3 linked regions of the Lepisosteus oculatus genome follow. The protein of the gene in region 3 purifies or fractionates together with the protein of the main gene of each other region. This does not show direct contact. Links are inferred from orthologs where the notes say so. Each region holds a gene or a part of one and is shown on either strand. Other genes may lie near its edges. The genes, in order: fxr1, fmr1 and tdrd3.

What was found.
Region 1: the proteins of tdrd3 (region 3) and fxr1 purify together in Homo sapiens (affinity purification with mass spectrometry; 3 studies listed by BioGRID and IntAct, with this or other methods). This does not show direct contact. The link is inferred for Lepisosteus oculatus from reciprocal best matches to the Homo sapiens genes TDRD3 and FXR1.
Region 2: the proteins of tdrd3 (region 3) and fmr1 purify together in Homo sapiens (affinity purification with mass spectrometry; 4 studies listed by BioGRID and IntAct, with this or other methods). This does not show direct contact. The link is inferred for Lepisosteus oculatus from reciprocal best matches to the Homo sapiens genes TDRD3 and FMR1.

Annotation. Positions count from the first base shown.
Region 1 is NC_090708.1:169,049-177,196, reverse strand, and holds the start of fxr1 (RNA-binding protein FXR1), read right to left. Parts: upstream 3,299-8,148; 5' UTR 3,241-3,298; coding exon 3,190-3,240; intron 443-3,189; coding exon 390-442; intron 1-389. UniProt on the Homo sapiens protein: mRNA-binding protein that acts as a regulator of mRNAs translation and/or stability, and which is required for various processes, such as neurogenesis, muscle development and spermatogenesis.
Region 2 is NC_090703.1:53,148,873-53,156,884, reverse strand, and holds the start of fmr1 (fragile X messenger ribonucleoprotein 1), read right to left. Parts: upstream 3,070-8,012; 5' UTR 2,828-3,069; coding exon 2,777-2,827; intron 996-2,776; coding exon 943-995; intron 1-942.
Region 3 is NC_090710.1:14,134,662-14,142,633, forward strand, and holds the start of tdrd3 (tudor domain-containing protein 3), read right to left. Parts: upstream 3,006-7,972; 5' UTR 2,798-3,005; coding exon 2,760-2,797; intron 199-2,759; coding exon 114-198; intron 1-113. UniProt on the Homo sapiens protein: Scaffolding protein that specifically recognizes and binds dimethylarginine-containing proteins. Plays a role in the regulation of translation of target mRNAs by binding Arg/Gly-rich motifs (GAR) in dimethylarginine-containing proteins.

The sequences.
Region 1 (8,148 bases), on a different chromosome or scaffold from region 3:
TTTCAAGGCTGAAAGATCTGACACTATCCAATAATCACTGCAAATTTAGTTACTATTCTAAGATCTCTCATTAAAACAATAAAAATACATCTTTCAGACACATATTTCTTTCATTATTTTTATATAAAGCATAATGTACATTCAAATCAGTTATCATGACAGGTTCCAACAAGTAGCCCCTGCCAGAATCCGATCCAGAAAGCACATTCTGAGGTGCTTGCAAATGCAGAAGGCAGTATTTATATTCCACAAAGCAAAATTGAGAAGCATGAAAATGAGCCACTTCCAGCTTGATCAATCCTGAGCTTCCTGTCTTGAATTCTTCCCAAAGCAGCTTGGTTATGATTTTTTTTTTAAACCCAACACGAAATTACTGTTAAAATACTTACTTATTTTCAAAGACAATGGTAAGTGAGTCATCATGGACATCTTTGACAAATCCCTAAAACATAAGTAAGGAATTCAAGTTACATCTTAATGACATTTTCCAGATTTATCCTAACTGCCTTCAGTTATTGTTAGTCATCCAATGTGCATACCCACGCAATACTATTTTAATGTACAAAATGTAATAGAATGTGTTTACATTTGATGTTTAAAGTTAACTGATATTAATACTTTTTAAACAAACTTTTTAAACGCCTTGGAAAAAGCAGACAAACTCATTATTTAAACTCATTATTTGTCTTAGACCTTAAAACTAAAACTGACCCAGTTAAATGTATAATTAGTTCAATAACCTTACCAAAATCCCCCATAGTAGACTCTAAGGAACAGAATTAAAGACCACTGCTGTACACTACTGAAGTAAATGACAGTTTAGATCCAGTTCCTTGACAGTTTTTCCAATTATGTCAACCTTCTAAACCAATGTGTTTATAGATGGTTCTCTAAGGCAGCACAAAAAGCATTATAAAAATGTGTTTAAACATATTTCATTACAACACTGGAGAAAGGAGCCTGTACAGATGTTATGTAAATGTCTAAATAGAATACATGAAGAAACAAATGTCTGAAATCACATATCTACTGTTGACAACAGTTTATCATTTTCTTCAATAGAAGAAACATATTTTACATGAAACAAGAATCACATCATTTAATGAGATACTTAAGAGATGCTTTTGCTTTGTGTTAGAGAAGGATTTGCATACCCACACAAGTACAAAGGGCAAAGTGGTGCTGGTTAACAGCATGACTGCTAAAGGACAAATTCCAGAGACTAACACCACTAAACTCTTCTCATTAATTCTCTCCAAAAACTATTTTTTTCTTTTCCATCTGTCATAGCTTTTTTATTTTACTTATGTAAGCACTACATGATATTACATTATATAATTATATTATACATTACATTATATTTTATAATAATCTGATTGTGAAAATGTTCTACTTTGAAACTACATAAACTGCTGTTTTTTTCACTATATTCAGATATTGTTTAAGTCATACTGTAATAAGTCATTACTTTACCTACAGAAAGTTAAAAAAAGAAAACATAACAGAAATATTTGCGTTTAGTAAAAAGCATCTGTCTTTTGCATAACTAGCTATGTGTAAGCCCATGTTTTAAATATAGCTCAGAGTTCCAAGTTATCCTTTGAACCTGACAACAGCTCAAGATTGACAGTGAACAGCTGTCAGACCACATATTGCTCTGGGATTGAGTGACATTCTAGGAATAACTTCAGCATGATACAATAACTACTTAATACTATTAACAGATGTATTTTCCTACCATGGACTGAACAAGTTAGTTCAACAGACAGTAACAGCTGTCAATACCTAAACATCTAGTAATCACACATCTTAGTGCTTATGTACAACAAAATTAAAAAGGAAAAGGAAATTAAGAAATGTAAAAGGCACAAAGTATTACATTTAGAGTATAAGCCTGATTTTTTTAAGGAGTCGACAGTACAATAATCTACTTGTTACATATAAGATACAAAAGTGATGCAAGTCAAACGCAACAGTGAAATGACATGCAGAAGAAGCAAACAGAGAGCTCACAATCAAAGACACCGCTAAACTAAACACTGCATTTTCATATGAACACAGGAGATAGTTTTCAAGTCACATAAAGACAAACTCTTCAGTGAATTTAACTGCATGCAGTGCCACATATTTTATAAACCAGGCCTCCAATCTTAAATAATTGCTTACACTTATATAGCGCTTTTCTGGACACTCCACTCAAACTGCTTTACAGGTAATGGGGATCCCCTCCACCACCCCCAGTGTGCAGTAAATGACATTCCCTTCAACTTCCATTCTTACGACAAGGGAGATTCCTTTGTATTAGAATCAGAACGGGTTCTTCTGCTTCAAGTGCTTATCATAATCAGTTCCCCTAACAACAGTTAGACCCAACCTAAACACATATCAGTCGTTAGACCTGTCACGCTTTATTTCAGAAATACGAAAAGGCCCTTATTAAAAAGATTCGGCACATCTAAGAGCTGGATTATAAAAACAAAAATATAGTTACGTTATTGACAGCTACTGTTTAGTAGACTTTGGCATATTAACAAGACTAATGGAACAAAGGAATGGAAATGTCCTTTTCCCATCATCGTGCAAATGAAGGGAATGAGATACACGGACGCTTCAGGTGCGTCTCTCAACACATTTGAATCTTCCTGCACTTTTATAAAACTTCTCTTAAACTCACCAGACCTCCAGGCTGAGCAAGTCAACGGATTCAGTACTTACAAATCCCACAGTGACTGCTGATCGTGTTCCACTCATTTTGTATAAAATATTAAAAACTATGCCCACCATTAAAACATCAAAGATCTTGTCAACATGAATAACGTAACAATATAACGAACAATATTAATCCTTATTAAATAACACCTGAGATAGGCCTGTATTAACAAGGGAAAGAATATATCAGTCCAAAAAAGTTCAAATATTTAAGTTTACAAATATATATCTCCAGACTGAATACATAATATGGGTTATCAAACTCTAGAATATAAAAATGCATATATACGTGAGTATGTAAATAAATCATAATGTAACTGACAAAAGATCAGACATTTTTGTGTCCTCGTCAAAGGCACTTTCTTACAGATTTATTTAGCAAGAACAATCCCGTGAAAACAACCTGTACATTTCCGTACACAAAGCTTTCTTCTCCTTTTTAGATAATTTATTTTATCGGAATGATTTGAATGTTTTTACCTTGTAATAAGCTCCGTTGGAGCCACGGACTTCTACCGTCAGTTCCTCCATATTGGCCACGCAATGTACTCTGGGAAAGCATTCTAGAAACTTACACCGTCACAGAGCACCGTGCGTCTGCAGAGTGGAGTGTACATACGGAGCACATCACTGCACAACATGTATACACACAGTACATAACTGCACAGAGCACATCATTGCACAGCATGTACACACACAGTACATCACTGCAATCATGTATACACACAGTACATCACTGCACAGAGCACACCACTGCAAGCACGTATACACACAGTACATCACTGCAATCATGTATACACACAGTACATCACTGCACAGAGCACACCACTGCAAGCACGTATACACACAGTACATCACTGCACAGAGTACACCACTGCACAGCATGCACACACACAGTACATCACTGCACAGAGCACATCATTGCACAGCATGTACACACACAGTACATCACTGCACAGAGTACACCACTGCAAGCATGTATACACACAGTACATTACTGCACAGAATGTAAACACACAGTACATCACTGCAGAGAGTACAACGCTGCTCAACATGTATACACACAGTACATCACTGCACAGAGCACACCACTGCAAGCACGTATACACACAGTACATCACTGCAATCATGTATACACACAGTACATCACTGCAAAGAGTACACCACTGCACAGCATGCACACACACAGTACATCACTGCACAGAGTACACCACTATTACTATATACTATTATAGACTATTTACATCTATATTGGGTGAACCACATAGGAATCACAGTCCTTTTTATACAGTACATAAGCCCCGCCATTTTAGGGGACCAAAAGTAATTGGACAATTAGCTGCTCAGTTGTTTCTTGGCCAGCCGTGTGTCATTGCAATGTTAGTTCATGCACAAGAGAGCTGAAAAAGGGTCTAGAGTTAATTCTAGATGTGGCATTTGCATCTGGAGTCTGTTGCTCCAGATGCAAAAGAGGACCAAAGAAGTGTCAATGCCAGTGAAGTTGACCATCATGTGGCTGAAAAATCAGAATAAATCAATCGGAGACATAGCCCAGACATTAGGTGTGTCAAACTCATCTAGTACATTAAGAAGCAAGAACGCACTGGTGAGCTTAGCAAATGACCTGGTAGACCACAGAAGACCACAGTAGTGGATGGCTGAAGAAGACTTTCAATTGTAAAGAAAAAACCCTTTTCGACCATTGAACAGATCAGGAACACCCTCCAGGATGTAGGCATGGATGTGTCAAAGACTATACCATAAAGAGAAAAATACACCAGCATAACCTCAGAGGGTTCACAAGATGCAATCCACTGTAAGCTTCAAGAACAGAAAGGCCAGGTTACAGTTTGCTAAAATGCAAATAATAAAGTCAGTAGAGTTCTGGGACACAGTCTTACACAGTCTAGACGAAGATTAACCTGTACCAGAGTGAAGGAAATAAGTGTGGAGAAAAAAAGGATCTGCTCATACCACCTCATCTGTGAAACATGAAGGTAGTGTCATGGGTTGGGCATGTACCGTATGGCTGCCAGTGGACCTGGCTCACTTGTCTTTATTGATGATGTGACTGCAGACAGCAGCAGCAGGATGAATTCTGAAGTGTACAGAGGGATCTTATTTGCTCAGATCCAACCAAATGCCTCAAACCTCATTGGACGGCATTTCACCTTGCAGCAGGACAATGACTCCAAACATCCTGCTAAAGCAACTATGGAGTTTTTCAGGGCCAAAAAGTGGAATGTTCTCGACTGGCCAAGTCAATCACCTGACCTGAATCCCATTGAGCCTGCATTTCACTTATTGAAGACGTGACTGAAGGCAAAAAACAAGCAGAAACTGAAAATGGCTGCATTACAGGCTTGGCAGAGCATCACCAGGGAAGAAACCATGTGTCTGCTGATGTCTGTGGCTTGCAGACTTCAGGCAGTCATCGATTGCAAAGGATTTGGAACGAAGTACTAAACATGACAATTTTAAGATTATGTTAATGTGTCCAATTACTTTTGGTCCCCTAAAATGGGGGGAGTATGTATAAAAAGGACTGTGATTCCTATGTGGTTCACCCAATATAGACTTAAATACCCTCAAATTAAAGCTGACATTCTGCACTTTAACAAAATCCAATGTACTGGAGTACAGAGCCAAAACAACAAAAAACGTTTCACTATCCAGATATTTACGGACTGCACTGTACTGTATATACACAGTACATCACTGCACAGTATATAAACACACAGTACATTACTAAACAGCATGTATACAGATAGTAAAACACTGCACACTTTATAACACTACACAGCATGCTTTATACACACAGAACAACACTGTATAGAGTACATCACTGCTTAGTGTATATATAGACACAGTACATTACTGCACAGTACGTAAACACACACTACAACACTTGTGTACCTTTTCGCACTGTGTAATGAAAATGGCTGCACATCACTGCACAGTATATCTACACAGTACAACAATATGCAATGTACAGTATATTCACAGTAAAAAACTGCACAGCATACCTCACTGTTCAATGTGTATGCACAAAGTAAAACACTTCTCAGAGTAAATCTCCGCACAGTGCATATACATACAGTACAACAATGCACAATGCAGTCTTCACAAAGAAATATACCCACAATACTGTACAGTACTGCACGATGTACTGTACATACAGAGTACATCCATGTACAGTACAATAAATACTTATTATAACACTGAACAAGTACTATATACACCACACAGCACAGTACTACGCAGTATGTACTGTATACTCACCGTACAGCTTACGGTACACTTTAGCATAGTACAAACTGAATACTACAGGACTACACAGTATAGCACTGCACTGTTCTGTGTATATAATACCTGTATAAATAATTACAAACCTGAAGAATGCTCCACAGCCGGAAAGTTCTGTTTCTTTTCTTTCCATTCAGCGTGGAATAAACCTTTACCCGTTCCTGTACATGCGATATGATGATTTTTCTTTTTACATCATTTTAGGAGATTAGTTTTTCAAAGACGTTGCGATTGATAAATGGAACACCGGGGAACTTATTATATGTCCTAATTTTATTGTAAATATGATCGAATAAAACAAGTTTAATGGAATATACATTATTATTTTTTATTCAGGTGCTTTCACGTTCTTTAACGATTATTATTGCGCCGACAAACACAAAAGCGAATGGAAGTGCTGCCACCTGTCGTGCATGGTAAATATTACAGCGGAATTCAGCTAACGTGATTAAATGGTCAAATTATTCCAACACCGGTCTGTGAATGCTTTATGATCTTAGAAAACCCGTGTCAAAATTAGTTTATATAGGATACAAAAAAAAATAAAAAAGATTTTACTATTATTAATTATGTTTACATTAACTAAAAAATAATAACCTCTAAGTGATTACTGGACTGCAGGTAAATATAAAATATAAAAACCATATCTGAGAGCAGTGAAAAGCAAATTTAGTTAAATGCATCTTGTGTTTAGATTATGGATTTCAGACTTATTAAGTATTATTGCCATAGCAATATCTTAAAATTCAAACACTGTTGTCAATTTTAATAGTAAAATGATGTACTTTCTTTTTTTCCTTGATTTATTGGAATAAAGTCAGTACTTTACAACCAGTGAGTGTGAAGACTTTGTTAATGCAGCATCTTATGCCTATTAATGGTAAATCTGCTTCTCTCAAATTCCATTGTGCTTTAGGAGTCAGGGACAGCCTAATGGGTCCTCTTTCTACTGAAGACGCTGTGCAACTGAGGAAGGTGCATATTTTGTTACTTCAGTTTCTTCTAATAACTTAAAAGTTTTTAAAGCACAGCAGAGGTGTCATTCACAGTTCCTCACTAAATAGTACACCATGGAATACATTACTGTTAAATATAAGATAATTTAAAAACTCATTAGTGAGTATTGTAACTTATAGCATCTTAATGCCTCTGAGCATAAACATACTTTAAACAAACAAATAGTGAAGTGCTATAAAACCAGAGAATAGTCTTAACAGTGGCAATTGTAAGTGTGACACATCACTTAATAAAGTCTTCTACATACTTTCATATGCCCCTACTAATATGGTAGCACTTGCACTCTGTGGTCTTTTCTCAAGATGTTAACACTGCTAACTATCTGTTTGGTTCAGTGGCTTCTTGCAGGCCTGGCTGTTTTCTATCTTTCAACCCCAGTCAGCTTTGAGGCTATCTGAACTGAAACGTGAGCCAGGTCTGCCCCTGCCCTTAGTAATGCACCAACAATAATACCTTTTAAATCTGGGCTCTTATATCAGCTTGCTTAGTGGAGCACACCAACAGAGATGATGTCACTTTAGACTCTACAGAATTCACTGCACATAGGATGTGCTGGATCACTCCCACTACTCTAGACAGGTTGGGTCACTCCTATACTCCTATTTTATGTAGTGCAACACACCAGTTTCTAATATTTTGGAATGGAGTTGTGAATACAGCATATATATATATTTGAAGACCCTAAATCACATCAATAAGAAATGCATAGCACGGGAAACGTCTCAAAGGCCATTATCATACCAGAAGTTATGGCCAAGCACAACATCCTCACTCTCACATTTAAACCAGTTTACAGAGTCTATTATGCTAAGCCTGAACACCAGTGATAGTGATGAATGATTATAAAATACAGTAATCTTCCATGGTACCACCACTGCAATATGACAGGAAAATTTCATTTATCCCACTAGTATTTTTTTCTTATTTAAGGAAGAAATTACTGGTCTAGTAATCAGATATATAGTAGAGCTGTTCTCTGAGTTAAGCCACTTCTATTTGAATTTCATCTTCCCTAGCATTTCAGAAAATACACATGGATACAGAAACGGTGTCTTTGACAGCTGTTACTGCAACTTTGTAATAGAACATTTTATCATTGAAAACCTTAGTTTTTTA
Region 2 (8,012 bases), on a different chromosome or scaffold from region 3:
ATGCACTTGCTCAAGGCACACTTTGAAAAACTGTAACCTCATAAACAGGTGTTCAAGAGGCATCGTTTATGCACTGGAAAACTTAAGAATACAGGTGTTCTTTCTATACATGGCTGGATTCTCTTGAGAATTCCAATTGCAAACTCAGTGTGAAGATAATGATAAAAGAAAAGAGAAAACAAAGCCTGTACAGTTATCCTTTGCAGAATAAATGGAACAACAGCATGCATGTATGCCTATGTTATTACACTAAGTAAATAGTTTGTAAGTACTAAGTGCATTAAACTAAATACTTTATACAAAGAATTTTGTTCATTTGCTCTACTTTACAGTTTTGCTGTTGTTACAGAATAAAATACTGGTGTTTGCATTACTCAATCAGCAATAGAATACAGACACGTCACTAAAAACTCAAAAGAAACATCAGTTAACATGCAGGTTCAGAAATCAACATGAATTTTGTGTTTAAGCATGTAGTATACAATTAAAACAAAAAAAATTGGGCACAAAACACAAAAGATTTTTATAGAATGTAGTTAAATGAAAGTAGCTAAACAAATTCACAGGTAGAACTAATTTAACAATCCTAGCAGTGCACATATGTTGCAAATACAGACCTTTCTTAAATCTTGATAAAAATAGTCAAGTATTTTATTATTATTTTTCCTCACATTGAACACTGAATTTAAAACTTTTATACACATTACTGACAAACACATTCATAACAAAACAATTTACACAAGCTTTATCCTGTTGCTGTGTTAGGATGCAAAAACTGCCTTTAACACATTGGGATACTAAAGCATATGGATAATTGTTTTTAGAAAATCTCCAGATAAATTGTGCCTTTCAGTACATTCCTCTGCATCTAAGATGAAGATGTCTTCATTCCACACATGACAGCTACACCAAAGTGGCACTGTGAAACTACAGATTACTTACTTATTTTCAAATGTCACCGTGACAGAATCATCATGCACATCCTTCACAAATGCCTGAAAGAAGACATTTCATCGCTGGTTAAAAAATGGGTTTCACAAATTTGTCCACTGAGGTTTCTTTGGTTTTAAAAATGTTTTTAGACTTCTACCACTACACCCCTTAAGATGAAACTGTATTGATAATAGTTATGACAACACACCATCTTTTTAATTAACAGCATTCTCAGGAAATAGTTTCACCAATATTGACATTCAATCAAAAGACAAGGCTCCTCTGTGTCTTACCACTGGACTAAAGCACTAATACTTTCTTTGTACATTTTTTTTTAAATTTGTTGTAGGACAATGTTGCATACAGATATGAAAAGTAAAAATATATATGCTCTATATCATTTTTACAGCATGACATGATAATTAAGATACCACTGCTCTATATGTATAAGCATCATTGTATCAACATCAGTTATCAGATTATTGAAATTTATAAATGTAGCAATGTAACAGCTTTACAGTGTCTTGACATGCTCTGCTGAAAACTGACAGCCTATGTGTATTGGGACAGTGGTCTTCTTTTGCCTTTGTTTTATCATGAACTGATATATCAAGAAGATATACTACAGAAAATACTTTAATATTAGTGGTTCAACAATTGTGAAACTCTGAAAACTTTATATTAGAGAGAGAAAAGTTTTTTTAGCTTCCTTTTATTCCCTGGCCCCCAGAAAACCATTTAACCACGGGTTACAACCGCTGCTCGCAACAATAACAGTACAGTCGTTTCTATCAAGCACCAACAGAAAAGCATGAGAATTCAATTAAAAACACGCCAGAAGCTCAGTTCTGACTTATAACGTTAACGTGCATGTATTGCGTGTGAGCGAGCGTCAAGTGTGAGCGACAGGAGACAATTCCACATCCACTCCACACTGCAGCCCCTGCGGCTCTTAAAGCCTAATGCAGCTGCCGCGCTGGTATTCGAGTTCTCATTCCTATGGATTAGCGTGGACACCACTGGCAAAAAGGCAACTACTGCAGTTCACTCTCTTTAAAACTCTTTAGTTAACAGAAGCAGAGCATGGAGCTAAAGTCGCCGATTTAGAGCGTGGCTTCACCAACAGACGTAGGTGCGATGCACATGTTACAGAAGAGACGCCTTTAAAACACCAGCACATTTTCATGCAGACACAGTAAATGCATGATGTGGTGTATATTAAATAAATCATGCATTGTTGAAACTGCATTACAAAGATAAATGATCTTATACCGGTTGTAGTCCAAGCTGTTGCACTACTGACACTTTACTTTTAGAAAAATAACTTGATTCAACTCCCCCACATTGTAACATGAAAAGTAACAAAGCGGCAAATAAAGAGTGAAACTTAAATAAATGAAGCCGTGAGTAAAATGTGATGGACTCCACACGCATGAAATACTGCATCATTATAAGGTGGAAATAATGAACGACACGTCGAGGGGTTTCTGCGCTCCGTTGAAGCGACTAAACACCATCAGCTCAGCGCCCTGGAATGGGAGGACTGGCTGGGGGGAATGAGTCCGATTTTGTAACTTAAATCCCCCTTTTGCAGAAAAAGGGCTGCAAAAACGTCCATCCTGAGTGCGCCTGGCGATAAACAGCGGGAGAGACGGGCCTTGTCTGAGGTCTAGCATCCACAGCTCTGCCGGATCAGGGCCTACACGGGTGTTTGAGATGTGAGTGCAACACAGAGGACCCCACTGGCCCGCACCTTTGCACGATCGCCAGCAAGCGCCAGCTGAGTTAAAAATGACAACAAAGCAGCCGCTAGCGCGGACCAGGCCTTTGCTAATCTCCCTACCTTATAAAAGGCTCCACTTGTTCCTCGGACCTCCACAGCTAACTCTTCCATGACTGTTGCAATTAAATGCAAAAACGGCGAGCGGGTCGCTTCGGTCCCTAGAAACGCCCCCCCTGCAGCTCTCCTTCTCCGTCAGTCTGCCTCTCACTGCTGCGAAACCAAGAGTGTTTTTCTCCCCACTTTTTCTAAAGAAATGAAAGTGAAACATTCATATCTTTTCTTCGCACAGTTCGCACCAGCTGCTCCTAAGCGCATTGATGTAAACACAAGAGCCCCCCCTCGCCCCCGACACGTGATCAGGGAGCGCTCCGGGGATGCACGTCTTCCCCTCGTTCCCATCCGAGCAAAGAAACTGAGTCCCTTCGGGTCGCCATTTTGACTCTATTCCCGTTTCACAGTTACGTCATGTCGCTCTTGAATGGAGTCAAAATGGCGCCAGTTTCATGGCTTCCTTCAACTGAGGGCAAACCCGACAACGTTAGGAACCAATCAGATTACGGAACGCTCCACCGTCCGAAACCCAGCCAATTAAAGCTGAGAACACTGACCAGACGTCCCCTCTCCAATACTTTGACTCACGAGGGAGGCCTTGCTGGCCGACGGTTGCTATGGCAATGATAATTTTTAGTTGGGTGTGTCCCATTCACAACAACCCGGCGTCTGGGGAGACCCGTCCCGCGTGCGGGAGAGCAGCAGCATTACTGTGATACAGGGGACCAGGTGCACTGCATTTAAAACATGTCATTCTTGCTTTCGGATCCGTTTAACCTAATTGTTGTAGATTTTTAGTTACCGTAAAGTACAATGCCTACACTGGAATCAATACTGATTTCCTAACGATTAAAAATAAACCTTTCAGGGTGACTAGAATGAACTTCCCCACAGTCCTCATCAGAGGATGTGCTGTGAAGACAAAGCTCATGCACAGGCGAGCATGCAGCCTGCCTCCACTCACAAAGCATGAGAGCCCTGCGGCAGGTGACGGGTGAAAAGACATTAGAAAACAGAAAAAACAGGACAAGCTGCCTGTCCCATTGTAGATGGGGCATTAGAAATGTAGACAGGGACTGGAATTAAATTAATATCTTTACTTAAATTAAAAACAAAAAGGAGAACCAAACTACGCAACAAAACTCAAGATATAACTCTACAGATAGAGCCTTTTGTTGTTGTGTCGATTTTAAAATGTATAGAGAAGGAAAAGGAACAAGTAATAGGTTTATTCCATGCTGAAAAAAAAGAAGAAAGAGAACACAACGTTTTGGCCGTGGAGCCTTCTTCAGGTGTGAGAGAGACAGGGCAGTCTGGGGAGACCGGAAAAGTCTGGGGAGAAGGAAAATACCGATATTCCTTATTCCTATAATAAAACCATTTGCATTTTGAATATTGTAATGGCAATTATTGACAAGAGTGATAATACAAGAGAGCATGAATGAAAGCTTGGTAAGACTTGCTCTCTTTTGTGTTCAGTGAGGAAGCTTGCACTCAGACTCTAACAAAACTGAATTTTAAATTCGGAGTGTTTTGAGAACAGTGACACAAAGCTGTCCTGTGTCTGATCCAGCTTCCTTTCAGTGGAGGCATGGTGTTGCCCACGATATGCCAGCAGACTTTTAATCAAGCTGACATACTTATTTTCTCCTCCAAAAGTCTCTCCTGCTTGTGGTACTGTAGGTCATGGTGCATTTGTTCTATAAATGCATTTTCTTTAGTAACAAAATGTGTCTGAATTAGAAGAGTAATACTACCGCAATATCCAAAAAAGAAATATATTTGCCAAGAACAGAAAATATATTTAAATAAACTCTTAAACAACAAATAAAAACATTTTTAAAATAAATGTACTAAATATTATTCACAAGCAACTAAACATACTTATTAACAGGCATATTGTTATCTTTTTTTTCTGATATAAGCAGAACATGGTTTATAATAAGAAGCGGAACAGAGTGTTATACAAATTGAACAGCAGCACACAATCTCTCAGATAAGGGATCTGGAACGGGGAGGAACTATTCCAGCTTCAGCCTCCAGGGTGTGAGCATCAGAGCAGCTAAGCCACGCTCCTGGTGGAGTAGGTAATAATATATCAGTAGAGGGCTGAGTGTGTCACACGCTGGGAAAATGTTACATTGCCAGAAGGGGCAATAAATGTACGTGCTTTTAACAAGAAGGGAAAGTAAGTTATTGTCATTCCAAGATGTGTTACTTCTTGGAATGTACCAGAGTAATTTATTGCCTGGCCAAGCCTGGAGCGCACCTGACTGTGTCTCTTATGACTTCGATTTCCACTCTTCAGCAAGAAGCTGACACATACAAGTACTTAATATATGTCCATGCTCTGTATATCTAGAATATATACATACTTTCCCCCAATAAATAGTATATATATATATATTTAGTATAGGAAGACGTATAAATGAACTAATGTTTAATGTATTGCAATTTTGTGTTCTGTCTCCATGGCTGATATTAAAATGATTCAACAGAATCTTGTTTTGGGATGACTCACAAAGTATGATTGTTTTTAGCTGGATGCACAACATTGGATTTTTGCCTGTTGGTTTAAAAATAAAAGTAATTCTAAATTAAAACAATAAGAAAATATAATATTCTGGGAAACACAAATTTAAAATAAATGTTTTAATCTTTACATTTCAGATGTAAAGTAAATGCACATGTTTATGATATAGTACTCATGTACAGAAATATATATTTTTTGTCATAATGAGAAAAAATAACTATTTTCCCCTTCCTAAGTTTTTTTTTAGTGAACTTGATGTCTCAGACAAATTACTAAATATATGTTAAAGGGAAATATTAATACTTAATTGATACCCATTTTCACTTTTTAGTCTGTCACTTAAATATATTAGATTAAATTTATAATTTCTTTATAGGGGACGTACAGTATACATTTTTCACAAGCAGCATGATGAGCCTGTAGTCTGATCTCACCAGAGTTCTGGAGCTCAGTGGCTGAGCTGGTCAGTACTGGAATTGAAACCAGACAGCTGCTGTCCAGCTGTGGTACAGAAGCTGGTGGAGCAGCACCTACAGTTCCAGACCAGAACCACAGTGTTTTAATTGGGGACTCTGTGCTGCAGGAATTGCCGTCCCTCAGATTAAACGTTAAGCCGAGGTCCTAACTATTTTATCATGACATATTCCAGGGTGCTGTTTGTGTGAATGGATGTGTTAACCCCAATGGCTTTACTAGATTGTGGGCGGTGCGGTGGCACTGTGGCTCAGGATCTGCGCCTGTGGCTGGAAGGCTGCCAGTTCAAATCCTGTGGCTGGCAGAGGAATCCTACTCCCTTGGGCTGCTGAGCAAGGCCCTTAACCCCAACTGCTCCAGGGGTGCTGTATAAATGGCTGACCCTCCGCTCTGACCCCAAGCTTCTCTCCCTGTCTGTGTGTCTCCTGGGGAACAAGCTGGGGTCTGTGAAAAAGACAAATTCCTAATACAAGAAAATTGTATATGGCCAATAAAGTGACCTTATCTTATCTCTAGATCCTGCTCTGGACTCCCCAAATTTTCCCCTCGTTGCAACTGGTGAAACAGTTTTATAGTGTAGTGTGTCATCCAGATGTTGTACTTCAATGGTGGATGGAGTGCATTTCCTGTTAAAATAACAATAATAACAACAATGATAATAATAAAATCCAAAACTAGTGCTGATGATTGTTTTAGCCATGCAATGCAATGTCTAGAACAAAACGACAATAAGGCACTCTTAGTTTTCTAAACTAGTTCAAGTATGGAGCTGTGTCAGCATGCGTAGTCTGCAAAAGAACAAGTAAAGGTTTATTCCATGCTGAAAAGAAAAGAAAAGAAAAGAAAAGAAAAGAAAAGAAACACGTTTCAGATGGGGAGCCTTCTTTGGGTTTCAGGTGTTTCTTTTCTTCTGTTTTCAGCTTGGAATAAACCTGTACTTGACTGTTTAGTTTTCTGTGATAAAGAAAGATTCAATTGCACATTTCAATCACTAGATGTCAGTATAAACTCATCAGAAAATAAGTCGGCAAGGATCTCTTGATTTTTCTTTTATTATTGTATTTTTTAAGAGCAGAATTGAAGAGAAATACATTTACTCAAAACGTTTAATATAATTTCAACAGACCTGAATTAGCCCTTTCTTAATATGAAATAAGTGTCTTATTGCCACAACATTAATTCTATAAATGGGGGTTTATTTTGCACTCAGTTTAATAAACAGCAGCAAATACCTATTGAAATAGGCACAGATCTCTATTACTCATAAGAAATAAAAGATGCTTTTGGAAAGTAATTTGCATAACATTATTTGTATAAACTCAATACTTAGGTTGTCAACGCACATGCCTGTTTTAACAGGACTTTAAGCCGTAGTTACTGGAATTACTGAATGTCACAGTTGAAGCTCCTGTGGAAGAAGAACATGAGGATCTATGTACAAAATAATTATGATTCATCTCTTGTGGTAAATAACTTTTGGTATTTTAATTCTTCTTCATTTATTTCTTGTGATAGGCATGATTTTTGGGGAATTCATTGAAACAGTTAATGATCTTTTGAGGGCTGCAGTTTCTTAACTCTTTACTGAGTTTTTGCATTTTCAGCCAGTTTAAAATGTTCTCAAAAGTTGTAGAACCATTAATTGCTCCTCTGTGTGAATTAGACTAAATGTAACTTGGCTCTCTTGCTCATTGCCAAGATAGGCCTGGGTCAGTGAACAAGATTGAACCAACTCTCAGGAGGCACAAGGTGGGCCACCTTTTAGAGTGATGTGTTTCTAGAAATGTAAAAACAGTTTTACAACATATATGAATTAATGCTTTTCTATATTTTATTTTTTTTATACAGTGTTTTTCAAAGGTGAGTGTTCATAAACTGTTCTAATGCTGAAGGAAAATTTCATTTCCAAAGCTTGATTTAATCACTACAGAGAGGTTATTGACCTTTTCTAGGTGTTTCTGTGCGAACGAAGAAGATTAAAGTAGAAATTTGTTAAGAGCATTGTACTTTCAGTTACCTTTCACAATAAAAAATTCTCATCATGTTGTCTTTGTACAAAGCAATGCAGAAATTTCAGAAATTTTAATGCATGAGTCATATTATTCAATATAGTCTTGAATGTGTAATAGTTAACCTAAAGTTCTCAATAGCTAAGAAGATGGAAGCCATGATGAAGCAGGGTAATTAAATCAATAGCTGAATCAATTCAGTTCAAAAGTATTATAAAACTAATGCTAA
Region 3 (7,972 bases):
TGAAACACACTTGCAGTCCAATGAAAGCTATTTGTAGATAAAAACTCAGAAGCATGTGTTATTCTCTCTAGCAGGAGGAAAACACTGATACACTAGGTGTAAAACAAACCTACATTTAATGCGATACGGATTATGTCATTAATGGAAGGATTTTCACAAGAATTTTTGCAGGCTTCTATTCCTTCATCAGAAAGATACCTGTAAGGGAACAAAAGAAAAAAAAATAATACCTCAGTTTCCAAATAAGGTTTTATTCTCAATGTTTCCATAATGGCAATTTCAGTAAAACTCCATTTGTTTGAAGATGTTACTTTTAAAGTAGTATAAACACCTTAAAAAGGCTGGTCACTTGTTTAATAGTGAGCACTATTTTCACAATTGTCACCCTGGCAAAATAATCAAAACATATTTAAATGCAAAAAGATCACTTGTTTTGAATGTTAAAACACCTGAGTAGTACAAAAAATAAAGAAAATAAAAAAGATTCACAAATCATCAGAATGATCAATCAGCTTATGAAAAGGAAAACCTTCTCCAGCTGATTCATAACATTTCCAAACATGTCTAAACCTCTTTAATACATTTTTCTCCAATCTACACAATCATTTTCCAGTATCCAATTAGTTCTACATAAGGAATTACAGTAGCATCACCTAGTGGGAGTAAACTGTTAGTGATTTTAGATGTACTTAAATCTGCAAAATATTCAGAAGTTCTCATTTCATAAAGAAACATGAAATGATTTCTGTATGAGATCAGGTTTATATCCTCAAAACATAACAGTCCAACTGCCATGTACATGTCACATTTCTTCTTATAAAATTCAGTAAAAAGAAAGATTTGTGAGTAAATCCTAAAAGTCAGAATGTGTTAAACAACCATGCAACAGTAGTATCAACCTTTATTAAAAGTGTAATCAGTTTAGAGAATAAAGAACAGCATGAAATCAACGACTACAATTTTGACATCTTAACAAAACATAAGGTATTCTAACTTTTCTATTATACATGACTTAATTATGTAACAGTTGTATGTTGGAAAAAATGATCCGTTTATTTTCTACAAAAATGCTGCAAAATAAAGCTACGATAAAGGCACCTCATGTGTTCCAAAGGCATTTTTGCAATGGGAGGTCCTTTAAATACTCCCAGCTAATTTCACAATTAAAAATACGTCAAGATTTATTCAAAACGGCAAAGGAAACGAGACTAATTTGAAAAACACCACCGTTTTATGTGACTCTACCATGCAGTATGTCCAAAATTCAGGAGCCAGAATCCTGACCAGATCTAGTGCAAGTGTTCACATTACTCCTATCCTGGAGTCCTTGCACTGGCTTCCGGTCAAATTCCGCGTAGACTTTAAAATCCTCATGCTCACCTACAAGGCTTTACATGGCTTGGCACCTCAATACCTGTCTGAACTTTTATCGCCCTACTCCCCACCTCGCAACCTCCGCTCTTCAAATTCTGCCCTCCTTACTGTCCCCCAAGCCCGTCTACATTGTATGGGCGACAGGGCCTTCTCCTGCTATGCCCCCAAGCTCTGGAACTCCTTGCCCAAGGATATTAGAGAGTCACCTTCTCTAAACTCCTTCAAATCCAGACTCAAAACCCTCCTTTTCAGAAAAGCCTTTACTTAACTGGTTCCATTCTTCACCCCTCTGCTCTTCTTAATACCATCTTCCACGGTCTCCTCTATTGTTATTGTTGTATTGTTGTAATTATAATTGTGTCCTGTCTTGTGAAATTTTCTTATTTATTGTTGTAGTCTTCTTATTTATTGTTATTGTCATCCTGTAAAGCGCTTTGAGAAGCCACCTTTAAAGGCGCTATATAAAATAAAGTTTATTATTATTATTATTATAAATCTTATTTTCTTTATAATGTGATTGACAAATAACTTACCACCAAAAGTTTGATGAGCAGAGAAATTCTTCAACAACTATATGGATTTCACAAAAATCGGGGTCATAGAAGTTGTATATACTGTTAGCATAACGAAGTCAAGTGAAGGTTCAAAAACTAGCTCACGTTTACAATAAATAAATGATATAAAGACCACATCATTACCGTTTTACGTGTGAAAAAAAAAATGAAAATAATACCAATAATTCTGGAAAGAACTGAACAATTCTTCAGCTACATTCTGTGACCATCCGTGAAAAGTTTTTTTTTTGTAAAATACCTCAACAACCATAAATGTAATAACTTAATAGCAGAGTCAAAGGAACACTAACGCTATGTTTTAAAATAACCAAAATAATGCATCGACTAATCTTTTGGTAACAAATAAGTGAATGTATTGGAGATTCTCTTAAATCAAAAATGAACGGAAATCAATCGCTAGAAAACATGATCATACAAGTATTTACCACTGCTTTGTTGTTAAATTCTAGTGATACGTATCCGATGTTTGACGGTTGTTTCCAACAACAAAGTGGAAAATAACTGAACAAATAATATCACACATTAAAGTTGAACATGAAGCACATGCATATAACGACACAAAATCAAATAAAATTCTTATTTGGGTTTTCTTTTCATACAAACTGCAGTTGAAAAGTTATCGATTGTTCTTCAAGAATGAAACACCTCTAGGCCTACACGTTACCAAAGTGAGCATAAGCAACAAAAAAGATTCTTATAAATTAAATATTTATTCTACTTGAAAGAAAGACTTAATAAATGCCTCTATTGTTTTCTTAATTGGAAAAGGGATTTTATTTAGGAATTTACAAGGGAAAACGAGCTACCTACCAGCCTTCTTTGGACAGAGCCGAGCTGATATCAGCCATTTTTCCACACACACGGGTGTTAAGTAAATTTTACTGCAGATCTTTTTAACACTACTTTCCGTCAGTTTGATATAGTCTTTGGAAGACCCCTAAATGATGTTAAACTTTTTGACTGCATAAAATACGTTTTATATTTACATTAAAATAAGTCATCTACGCGATGCAACAAAAAATAACTACAACCACAGTAGAATGACGAAGGTTGAAGTTCAGGGATGAAAGGTCATTGCGTGATTAGTGACGTAGATTTTCATGGGTGAAGTCAAGAGAGCGCCATCTCTGTTTGTGGAATAAGTAGAGCCTTTATGCAATTCCTTCTTATATTTTTTGACGAAAAAAAACACTTCTATCTTTAAAGTCAATTCTGGATTTTATCCTGCGTATTACAACCGATTACCTTTGTTTAACAGCTATTGAAGAAATACCGCAGTATTCGGCTTAGAGCAAAAATACAGGAAAAGTGGGACGTCTTAAGATTTTCAGTTTTTCATGAATATATTTCAAAGCCTACAGAGAGACTTAAGTAACAATTACCCATACAGTAACTAGTTTTTTTAAAGTAAAACATATTTCTTCTCAAATAAAGTGTATGTGTTGCCGGTATTGGAAAAAGTGTTATTAAATTACAAAATTCCTGTGCAAATAATTACTTTTTTAAAAATAGACAAGATGTTGAGGTAATATATATTTTTAAAGTTTGGTCTATGTAGCATGGTATAGTTACTACGTAAACAAATGTAATACCTATCTGTAAGCATTTTCCTAAAACATGAATATGAAAAGTTATCCCTTACAAAATTGTAACAGTAATGCATTATTTTTTAAGTATCTTTCCCTAACAATGGGTGTGGCTATATATTTTATTAATTCAAATCTTACATAATTTGTTTGGCTTTTCCCCAAAGTTGTCATTTAAAAATCTTAAAATATGCACGTGTTTTTTTTATAATTCTTCATAATTAGGGTTACGCTTATTTGATTTAATATGAATAAGAAATCAAATTAAAAGGAGTAGGGAGCTGTTTAAAAATGTGCATTCTACTATAGCTATATTAGTATAGTGAACAAGGTATACCAGGTAAATGGTATTTATTTAGGTTACTGTAAAAATAAGGTAGTTTGCTGTTAGTAAAATAAAAAAGTCATACTGCTGTGTACACATGAGAGGTTTCATTTTTCCATTCCCATGCCAATTCGTATTTTAATTGATTTAGTTTGCACAAAAACATAAAACTAAAATCCTGGTCTATCAAGACTAAAATTACATCTACATTTGAAAACACTTTCATAATTTTTTCCAAAATATTAGAGAACTGTATATTCCATAGAAGAAATCAATCACATCCATTGTAGTGGAAATGGCTCAGTATTCAGTATCCCCCATGATTCCTGAAGTGTAAAGCAGTAGCAGCCCAGCACTTTCCTTATATGTTGTGCTAAGACAAAGATGGCTGATGTGAATGACTTTACAAGTGGCAAGACTGGAATTGTATGTGTCTCTGGTGCATTGTTGAAAGCAACAAAATGCATTGCTGATTTATCAATTCAGACAGTTTCAGGTTTACAGGCTGGTTGGTAACAAAACACAAACAGGAAGTACAATTCAGCTTGCAATAAGACATGGAACCAAAGGGACAGAGAGATGATTTCACTAAAATTTCACTGAATATCCCATATCTTGGTAGTGGTTTATTAGTAGATCTCCATAGACGTTTCTGGAGGTGATGTTGTGACATGCTGCTGCTGTGATTGTAATATACCTTTGCTATACATAGTGATAAAGAAGAAAAAGAAAAAATAGTATAAAACGTAATAAAAGAACATGAACCAAGAACATACAGGATAAACTGTTAGTAAGTTTAGATTTGCAGAGTGTCAATTAATTTGTCTTTTGAAGAGTTGGAGGAAGCACATTCCACAACAATGGAGCAGCAAAAGAAAAGGCGTGGTCACCAAATGTCAGAAATTTACTCCTAGGTACAGTGAGCAAAGGACCAACCTCAACTGAATGAAGCCTGAGGGAGTGTAAACATGAAGGAATTCGGAGATGTACAGTATCATGGAGCCAGATTATCTAAAACCTTCAAAGTCAGTAACAAGATCTTATAATGGATATGTGAGTTTATAGGTACGCAATGGAGAGATTTAAGTGTAATAGTGATATACTGCCAGGGTCTGTGGTGAGTTAGAAATCTAGCTGCAGAGTTTTGGACATATTAAAACTTATTGAGAAAAGTGTTAGGGAGCTGATAGAGTAAGGAGTTACAGAAATCTAGCCTTGATGTTAGAAATGTTTGCAAAAATTGCAAAAACCTAAAACAGAGGCCAAGGATGGAAGAAAGAGCTGAATTGTCAGGGATTTAATGAGCTTGTTAATAACAAAAAGAACACTTTATGATTTCATAGTCCAGAGCTAATTGTATCCAAAATGTACTGTAGGATGAGCTGGCAGGAACTAGAGCAGATCTACAGACATGTACATTATGTGTTTATTTCATGCCTGAGTGTGAACCACTAGGCTGTCTTTTTATTTAAGGGGGCCAGATGCCATCCAGACAGTTTCAAAGAGCAAAGTTCATGTGTATACCATGGAGAGAATGCTTAAAGCAAACTAAGTGAGTTTAAAGGAAGTCAAGTTTATCCAAAGTACTAGTCAGCGCAGTGCGAAAATTACTGACTAGGTCAGCTGTTGAAGATGACCAGTCTTGAACAAGGGGTGAACCAAGGATAGCATTCGGGAAATCAGAGGTGTTCACAGGTTTCAATTAAGAGCAAGCTTTCTTGTAATAATGCTCCTATCAGGTACTCTTTATAGTACTCAGATTACCTGGACTACAAATGGTTCCAGGATGTCTTAGAAAACGGATATCTCCCTTTGCTCAGCTTTGAAGATGATGAGCATTAATGATTATGAAGTAATGAGGTCTGCTTTTCTTTTTTCTTTGTCCTTTCCTCTGTCTCTGTTTATTTATGCTATGGTTCATTCCTCTGGAGGTTATCTTAATGATCTTCCTAGGAATGTTCACCGTGGAATGTTTATTCTTTAATATGGAAGTACGAATGATTTACAGTGAAGTTAATTAACCTGAGGATCACTCTCTAATTGTCTGTATCTTCCTCCATGTTTTCTTGGATCTGTGACCCAAGGACAGCAAAAATACAGCAATAATAATTGTTCCAAACCTTCTGAGTAAGCAATCAGACCAGTAAGTGCAAATTTTGCTGTGGTTGCTGAAACATGGCTGTCCTCTTCAGCCACAATAATATAAAACTTAACGAGATCATTTAGTGTTTTTTTTTTGTGATTCTACCATCTATGCATTCCTAAATATGACCAACTTAAAAATTAATCTCAAAGTAACGGAAGGGCTAAATAGGACAATCAAAATGAACTAGGACTATTTTCAACTATTTGACAGCAACACAATTAGTGGCTGTTTTAGATTGATAGTTAACATATAAAGCTGTAATGCAGTCTAATTTGTATGCAGTCTGACAGCTAGAAAACAGTAAGTGCAAGAGATTGAGCTGTACTGGATGAAGAATCGAAGAACTTTCATTATGTAGTGCAGTATCTCTCAGTCCTGGTCCTTGGGGACTGCTTTATCTTCTGTTTTTTCTCTAGGTTAGTTCTTAGTCACAGGTTAATTTATTTCAATTTTTATTTTTTAAACCCCTTTTGTTTTCAACTCTTAAATGGTTGATTGAGATTTATAAATTTGATCAATCATCTACTAATTATTAAGCTTCACATCTGCCCTCATTTAGGTGTGTTAACTGAAATGTGATCAATTGGATTTAAGCAGAAGCAAAAGCACTTATTTACTGTGGGATTGTCTGGTACTGTACATTGTTATTCTTGCCTGTATCTTTTCATCATGAACTGGTCATTATTAACATATTTTTAGTTTTTGTTGCCGCTTAAAAAGAAAGTAATAATCTATTAGCATTAAACAGATACAATTGAAAACTGTAAATCAGAAATAATGAATTCACAAGGGACATGAAGAAGGTTAATTTAATATCATAGCACTATGACAGTGATTCTGAAACCTGGTCCTGGAGAAACTTTGCACATGTGAGTTTTTATTCCAACTAAATTCTGTCTGAGTGACAAAGAACCATGAACACTCAAAGAACCTAAATTCAACTACCTTTTTAAGAAGGAAAAAATCAAACTTTTTATCTGAAATGTTTCTGCATTTAGTCCCTATTTTCAGAAGAACATTAATTTAGATTTAGTATTGAAAATACATTTTATAAACAGAACCCTCTCTGTTGTCATATTTAATTGTTGTTTCTATTTTCAATAAATATTGAACTTGAATATTGAATACTGGAGATAATGAGGATCGAACACTGTCACAATAACCACTCATTAAACAAGGATATTTTTGAAACTCAGTTTTAAACTGTCTGCAAATATTGTTAAATATTTAATTGTTGTGTACAATCTTTTAACTATAGTCTTTCATATTTTAATATTTTCTTCCTTTTTAATCTGCTTATAATGTGTTTTTATATGTTGTTGTATAACATTGAGATATACATGGTGTGAAATGGCACTTTCTAATGAAATTTAATTGATTATAAAGTTTTAAATATGGATCTGCATCTGCATCTGCAGATAACCCTGGGGTTATGGGTATGTTTCAGGCTATGGTCAGTATTAGAGTTTTGTTATTAAAAAGAAATTATTATACAGTAGAGGATTCTATTCTACATTTATGTAGAATATTAAGTATATTGATATTTTAGTAATACAGGTATAAAACATTCCCAAAATCTGTGTAAATGTTTTTGCCACCATAAACCTTTACAATTATTGATATAGTTTTCCTCTGTTCACAGATGTACACATACACTACAGTAAATAGAGTACAGTGGAGAATGAGAAAGAGTAGGCAGACTCCTCCAACCTGCCTATCTTTAAATCATGTCTCTTTAACAGGGAACACGGCCTCGAACCAGAGAGAGAGGGTTGACGTGTTACAGTGAATCAAGAAAGACCCTGGCTTACTAGATCCCACCCTTCCCTTGGTGGCAGCAAACCAGCTGTGGGAAACCTGCTCACAGTCAGCTAACGACATGACCCAGGCTGGAATTTATGATCATAGAGCTTAAGATGGGCTCACCTGGGTGCATTTACCAATTGAGCCACTTGAGAGGTGCCCA